Schizosaccharomyces pombe: one gene and its partner. Changing the gene in region 1 together with any one later gene gives a genetic interaction. Each region holds a gene or a part of one and is shown on either strand. Other genes may lie near its edges.

The links.
Region 2: of wdr74 (region 1) and mak5, a mutation in one rescues a mutant of the other (synthetic rescue), as found in Schizosaccharomyces pombe (one large-scale study listed by BioGRID).

The regions. Positions count from the first base shown.
Region 1 is NC_003423.3:1,535,052-1,538,980, forward strand, and holds wdr74 (ribosome biogenesis protein wdr74), read left to right. Parts: upstream 1-1,771; 5' UTR 1,772-1,847; coding exon 1,848-1,887; exon of another isoform or gene 1,888-1,936; coding exon 1,937-2,055; exon of another isoform or gene 2,056-2,131; intron 2,132-2,215; coding exon 2,216-2,755; intron 2,756-2,816; coding exon 2,817-2,914; intron 2,915-3,036; coding exon 3,037-3,403; 3' UTR 3,404-3,516; downstream 3,517-3,929. Other genes in the region: DNA replication factor C complex subunit Rfc5, read right to left, coding at 1-413, 556-748, 810-1,004; SPOM_SPBC83.16C (uncharacterized protein), read right to left, coding at 3,750-3,929. UniProt on the Schizosaccharomyces pombe protein: Involved in the biogenesis of the 60S ribosomal subunit.
Region 2 is NC_003423.3:2,698,325-2,702,253, reverse strand, and holds the start of mak5 (ATP-dependent RNA helicase Mak5), read left to right. Parts: upstream 1-1,857; 5' UTR 1,858-1,894; coding exon 1,895-2,050; exon of another isoform or gene 2,051-2,086; coding exon 2,087-2,942; intron 2,943-2,993; coding exon 2,994-3,282; exon of another isoform or gene 3,283-3,319; coding exon 3,320-3,929. Other genes in the region: mrpl39 (mitochondrial ribosomal protein subunit bL33m), read left to right, coding at 1,005-1,027, 1,079-1,180, 1,239-1,281. UniProt on the Schizosaccharomyces pombe protein: ATP-binding RNA helicase involved in the biogenesis of 60S ribosomal subunits and is required for the normal formation of 25S and 5.8S rRNAs.

The DNA of each region.
Region 1 (3,929 bases):
TTGAAGCATGGAATCACCGACCTGCTGGATAAATGTTTGCCAATCAGGCAAAGGGAGTTGCGCACCAGTATCGATTAGTTGCTTGTTGCCTGGAGATTTTGCATGAACGGTCTCTAAGAGCAAGATGGCTTTTCTAAGATTCCGATCACAATTATTCGCTATATTATTAAGCAGAGAATCCGGAGCTTCAAGGCCTTGGGCTGTCAAGATTTTAGACATTACCAGGATAATTTCCTCTGGCGTAGGGGCTGCAACACGAACCATTAACGTACGAGATCGAATAGGCTCAATAATTTTCGACGTAGAATTGGCAATTAAGATCAGACGAATGTTATTGGAATATTTTTCCATGGTACGACGAAGAGCCGCTTGAGCGTCTCTAGTTAATTCGTCAGCCACATTGATTACAACGACTAAGGAGCATGTTAGTACGAGCGCAGATAAAAATAAGGAAAAGAATTGAAAGTTCACCAACCAGAATATAACATGAGACACCTAGGAACAAAAAAGAGCACAAAAATTCCATATTGATTTCACTTTACAGTGAAGACATACCTTTAAATATCTTTTTAGCTTGTAAGTCAACTTGTGCAGATTGAGCCACATCTTTTAAAAGCTCCTGCATAATGACTCGGTCGTAATTTCCGACATCGCTGGGCGTAATTTCCAAATGATGAAGACTTGATACAATATTGATCTGTAATTTTTTACTACTAGGAGTCAAGAAAGTTCTTTGATCGATTTTCAACTACATTCATTGTGAGCATGTATATTTAATTAAATGAAAGTCAGACTATGAAGAAACATACCTTCTCTGAGCCAGGTCCATACAATTCTCGTAATATAGCAACCACCCGAGTTTTTTTTCCTGCTCCGCTGGGCCCATACACTAACAAATGGGGAAACTCATTAGTAGACGACAAGGAAATAAGACGTTCTGAGAGTTGTTTGTGATAGTCCAAAGATGCAAGCGTCTTTGGACGGTATTGATCTAACCAAAGCATTTATTCCAAGATTTAAAGGTTGGAACTCGGTTTTTGGTAAAACCCTTCAGTAACGCAAAGGACAAGTGGATGTACTTAATGGAGAAATACAACGTGCATGTCAGTGTATTACACCAAATTGTTAGATGATAAAACTTTTAACTTCTAAACAAACCGAACTGTTTTTCCCATTAAAATAAGCTCTTCAAGATACCTTCCGTTCTCGCTAGTTTACACATATTATGGAAGTTACTGAACATTGTATTTGAGTGGGAAGTATTTTACAACACTTGGTAATTTTATTGTTTATTCAATTCTATTTCGTAGAGCGCTCTAACTTCATTATCGATAAACATTTGAAGCTGTTACATAGTTCAAACTTCTTCTCGTATACTTACTGACCAAACTATGTTTTTCCACCTTGCTTTATTCCTATAAAAAAAATAACTGTTTAAGAAATTATTTAAATCCCATTCATTGATAAGGCAACTTGACACGCTAACGTTGTAAACTTTCAATTAAATGAATCAGCTGCAAAACTCAGTTTCCTTTGACGAGCACTTATTCTATAGAAAATGATATATTACAATTCTTCTTATATTCAAGTACATGTGAGCGATTAGTCCGTTTACAACCTTTTTTTATCGATAAGCTAAATTATCCATTCAATAAATGACATTTCCTAAATTAAATTGACAATTCATTCTTTTTTTTATTTTACCTTGTAAGGTTTTTTAAAATGGTTTTAAAATTTGCCCTTTAAAAGGACACGTTCCTACCTTCGTGGTGAAAGTTTTTCTCATTACCCATTTCAACAACCAAATCGATTCTTGCGATATACGACAAAAGTTGTAGTATTTCAAGATGAAATTGCTTCTTGGTGATGAAATCGGGCAATTAAAATGTAAGAAATCCACTCACAAGTTCGTCGGTACTAATAAAGGTGATTATAGTCATAGAAATAAAAAAAGGTACTGACACCTCAAACCCCGAGTCAGAAGCACCAGTTATTCAGAAATTTGGAGAGTTAGATCGAGAAAAAGGAGTGCTTTTTATGTTGAAGCATGAAATGGTACGGAATTTTTGAGATTTCTGTGATAACGCATTATGAACTAAAAAGAAGCAACTTTATTGACGCTTGTTTCTTCGTTACTATTATCAAATGGATTGCGCGTTACTAGGATATCCTGTGTTTATATTTCGAAAAACACTGATTAACTTGTTAATTTTAGAATGTATTTGTCGCTCGGAAAAATGGTACTATTGAATGTTGGAACGTTAACCAAGAACCACCTATTTTGTCTAGTCTTTGGCAATTGGACAGCTCTTTATTAGAGACTGCTTCCATAGTTTCCATGAAATACTCTAATGGTTGGCTAATGCTTGCTTTAAGTGATGGAAATTTGTTGTTTAGACACATTGAATCTTCGAAGCTTCGAAAACTTCAATTACATGGCCCCCTGTCCGCTGTTGAGTTACATCCAAGAATACCAGGAATAATCGCTGCTGGAGGAAAAGAAAACGATGTTTGTTTGTATTCTTGCAATCCTACGTGCAAATCGAACATTGATGAACTAGAACTTTGGCGAACAGAAAACGTGGTAAAAGTTTTCCAGGGAAAAAATGTAAAAAATGACTCCCTGAATCTTAGAGTGCGCGTGTGGATCACTGGAATTGTGTTCACGGAAGATATTATTAATGTTATTGACGGAAAGTCCGAAGACGATGAAAGTCTGTGCTTCCATTTTGCTACGATTACTCATTATGGTCAGGTAAGCAGTTGATAATATTTTGATTATTCACAGTATTGAACCTTTATTTAACAACAAATAGTTACGCTTTTATGATACGAAACACGGCCGCCGCCCGGTTTCCACATTTGATGTCTCTACTTCACCATTAAGTCATGTTGGTTTGCTTCCTTCAATCAAGTATGTTTTATCGATTTTTTGCAAATCAAAGGCATTATGGTAATAAATAAATTGAATATTTCCAAAGCCATTTAAAGATTTTTTTCTCTTTTCTTTCTAGCACTCATATTGACCAAATTTAGGTTACTTTACTTTGCTGATAAGCGTGCTCAAATCTCAATTTTTGACCATTCAAAGAAAAAAGTCATCGGAAGATTTCAAGGAGTAAAGGGTGCCCCTTCTTCAATTCATTGCCTTGGTAATGTAGTTGCTATTACTGGTTTAGATAGAAACGTCAGGATTTTTGATGCTGATAGAAAACCGCTAGCAAATGCATATATTAAAGCTCTTCCTACCAGTATTATTGTTATTAATGAAAGAGATGCCGAAATAATTAAGAAAGAAGAGGAATTAGAAGCGGCAAAAGAAGAAGAGGAAGAGATTTGGCGAAACATGGAACAGTTAGAAGATACAGAAGATAAAAAGCCTTCGAAGAGGATAAAACTTTGAAGAAATACTGGTCTTGTTGGGTAAAACTATGGATATATATATTGGTAAAGTTTTGTGTTAGATATGGGATCTTAATAAATACTGTTATGGATTACATTATATACAGATTACTTAATTCCAGTCGTATTGTAAATTATATATTGAAAATTGGATTAATGGCAAAAGCTGCAGACGAGAAGCACAAATAAGTTGAAAGATTAAGAACAACAGCTTGTAATTGCAGTCATAATTCGTCTATTTAAAAACATTAAAATATAGTAACTAATTTGATGCATTCATTTTTCGAGAGAAGATTTTTGAAGAAAACAAGTGTTTGAAACCAATTTGTTACGCAAGGAACGAGAACTCATGACATTGATTGAAGACATTTTCGAACAACATGCCTTGCAAGTTGCACACGAATAATCAATCTACTTTCAAATTCGTTGTCTCCACCAAAATCACGAGCTTTTCTCAGATAAGCATCACAATGCTTCAATCCTTCTTTTTTAGAACCATTGCTCTCAAAAAACGCTACCGCCATTTC
Region 2 (3,929 bases), 1.2 Mb from region 1:
TTCAGTATTGCCAATAATTTACAGTTACAATGATACTTAAAGCTTGCGTTTGTTTAGAGCCGAATATATATATATATATACACGAAAGGCTTTTTAGAACCACCTCGTCATAAATGTTTCTTTACTAGGCTCGCTAATTTCCATCTGTGTTTTTTTTTCACGCTAGCAAACTATGCTATTGCAATTAGTTCATTCTTAACGTCCTAATTCATCTAGTACATGTCATTTTAACTAAAAGAATTTTTCCTGAAAGAAAATTGGTTCTTTCATTTGAATATCATTCTTTCCAAAAAAAATGTAGAAATACAAATAAGATTATAAATTGGCAAAGACGCGATTGGACTTTAATTAAATACCCATCTACAGCCAATAATTAAAAAACAATAATAATTGTAATAAAAAAAAAGAATTTTTCAAGAGTTGTTCATCACTTCATATTTTTTCTTCGAATGTTAATAGAACAGCAACTTCTATTTATAAGATTACTTATAGTTTGTTAATTATTCCTCTCTGTTAAATTGGCAGACATCAGGAGAAGAGACGCAGCAGACTCAATTTGTTATACTTTCCTTATTAACATTTTTTTATTTTTTATTTTATTTTATTTTTATTCAAAAATTCTTTCTAATTTTTTTATTCTTACTGTTCGTCTTTCGTTCTTAAGTGCCGTCATGCATGTTTCTCAATTAGAATTTCAAATCTAAATGCTTTTTTTCAAAACAAGTAATTCATTGATGAGCCTTTTATCTTTACTAATAGTTCTATAGTCTACCTAAAACAAAAAAATAACCTATTGAAAAGCCTCGATTGTACACAACCAAATTTAATAAAAATTGGATTGCAAAAAGGCTTTCTCATTACTCAAAACAATATCTTTGAATTGCAAACTTTCAATTTTACATTTCTGACTGCAAGTTATCCATCAAGTTAAAAGAGCTCGCCCACAAACCCTGGTGTAACTACAAAACCTTTAACTTACCGCTTGCACTGTACGTATATCCAGAATGGCTAAAAAGAATAAAGCTCGGTAAGACATACATGCTTAATTTAATGCGCATTTTTAACATTTATTTTTCAGTTTGCTTGTAAAATTATTGTCCACCGCTGGCACTGGATTTTTCTACGTTCGTTCACGTCCAAAAGCTGCTCCTAAGCTTGCTTTTATAAAATATGATCCCAAGTAAGTTATTATGGATTTTCTAAAGCCTCATTTAAGAAGCTAATGAATGAACCCATAGAATTCACAAAAGAGTACTTTTCGAAGAATCCAAAATGAAATAAAAACTTCTTCCATTTCAATGATAGTCTGAAAATGAAATGCTAAATTATGACCGATCAATCTACCTTTTTTCTTCAAAAACTTTATGGATGTGCATTAATTATGTATTAGCTTCCCAACCTACATCTTATACGACATAATTCTAAACAGCTGCGTGAACATAAAGACCCTTATATTATTCTGTCATATCTATAATTCCTATTTTTATTATTATTATTTAAGAGAAGGACTGAGATGTCAAATTTTCAAAGTAATAAGAATGTTCCTTTCACCTGTACCAATTGCTAGCCGAATTAGAACTATAGTAGTAACATCGTTTGTGTTTACTACTCTTGTAAGCACTGTAGCTCAGATCATTCGATTCTAAAATTCTCAAGCAATATTTTTAATACAAAATGGTTGTACTATTTAGAAATTATGCAAAACATGGCAAAGCATTGAATTGCTAAAACCAATCGTCGTTTAATGTCTTCGTAACATTTAATTATTTGTTTTCTATTAGCTTATACGATGCAATTATTTTTATTCCCTCGTTCCAATTCTTAGTGTAAATTTTTGTCTACCTACATTTTCTATGTGGAGCAAACTACTACACTTTTCAACGCTTTGATCACGATGCCAAAGAAAGCTGCATTGGACGAGCTTAAATGGAAGGAAGTCAAGCTTCCTGACCACCTAGACGACTTCGATGGGTTTATGGGCTTGGAAGAGATTGAAGGTGTGGATATCAAATATCAGCCAAAAGGTGCTATGAAAGAAGTAATTTATGAGGTATAATTGTTTATTATCTAATTTATTAACAAACAGTTACCAGAAGTTCATGAAAAAAAAGATAAAAAGCCGGAAAAGCGAAAAAAAGATCAAAAAGAAGCTAGTGAAAAAAAGAAAAAGGGAAAACGTACTTCCCCTACTATTGAAATGACTTCACTAGGATCAAAGGTGACTTCTAAAAACTATAATGAATTCTCTACATTAGAAGAAGAGGATGAACACAATTCTCATGGTGTGGACGTCTCTGCTTGGGCACACTTTTCACTTTCACCGGAAATGCTTGGCTCGTTATCTAAAGCTGGCTTTTCAAAACCGATGCCAATTCAATCATTGGTAATTCCTGAAGCTTCTATTGGATTTGATATCATTGGAAAGGCAGATACCGGTTCAGGAAAAACTTTAGCTTTTGGCATTCCCATTTTAGAGCATTGTCTTCGCAATGTAGATGCAAAATACGTACAGGCTCTAGTTGTTGCTCCTACCAGAGAACTTGCTCATCAAATTTGCCAACACTTTGAACTTATCAAGCCAAGTCCTAACATTCGTGTTATGTCTATAACCGGTGGATTAGCAGTACAGAAGCAGCAGAGGCTTCTTAACAAGCACCCTCACGTTGTGGTTGCAACTCCGGGTCGCTTGTGGTCTGTCATCAACGAGAACAACCTTACAGGAAACTTTAAGAAAATCAAGTGTTTGGTATTAGATGAAGCAGATCGTTTACTGCAAAAAAGTCATTTTGAAGAATTGAGCAAACTACTTGAAATTTTAGGAAATCCCATGCATACTCAGCGTCAGACTTTTATCTTTTCTGCAACTTTCGATGAGGGTTTACAGCAACGCCTTAAAAAGAATATGAAAGGCAATATAACTGAGAAATACAACAGCCCGATGGGTATGTTCAATTAGAAATATTTTACTTTCTCACTTACTAACGACTGCATAGAAAATATGTTGAAGGAGGTTCGTTTCTTTGGCAAACCCAAATTTTTGGATGCCAATCCTCAAAGTGCAGTGGCAAGCCGCGTATTAGAAGGGCTCATAGAGTGTGCTCCAGCTGAAAAAGACTTGTATCTTTATTATTTGATCATGCGTTATCCTGGAAAAACCATGGTTTTTGCCAATGGTATTGAGGATATTAAGAGAATCACTCCTTTTCTAAATGAGTTAAAAGTTCCATCCTATCCTCTACATGCTCAATTAGATCAGAAAAAAAGACTTCAATCTCTTGAAAAGTAAGTTATTTTTATTTATATGTTACTAACTAACAAGGTTCAAAAATAATCCTAAAGGAGTCCTTGTTTGCACTGATGTGGCCGCCCGTGGTATTGATATTCCTAGTGTTACGCACGTAATTCATTATCATGTTCCTCATACAGCTGATATGTATGTTCATAGAAGCGGTCGTACCGCTCGCGCTAACGAAGATGGCGTTTCAATTTTAATGTGTGGTCCTAAAGAACTGTCACAGCTGAAACGACTATGTTATCGGTTGAAAAAGAAAATCGAGACCTTTATTAATTTTCCTGTGGATATGTCAATATTGGACATTTTAAAAACGAGGGTCGTCTTAGCACATAAAATTGTAAATCTCACTAGAAAAGACGGAAGAGTGGGACGTGAGGAAGCTTGGTTAAAATCGATGGCTCAGGAATTGGGAGTTGAAAGTTCTGATGATGAGGATCCGGATTTGCCAAAAAAATCTGAATCTAGTAAGAATAAGAAACAGATAGCGCATCTTCGCTCAGAGCTTGCTCCCTTATTACACGAAAAAATAAGAACAGGATTTTCTGGTAGATACTTGACGAGCGGTCTTGTAAATATGGCTGAAAAATTAGCCAACGAAGAAGTTCATGATAATATTATCGGAATGGACTCAATT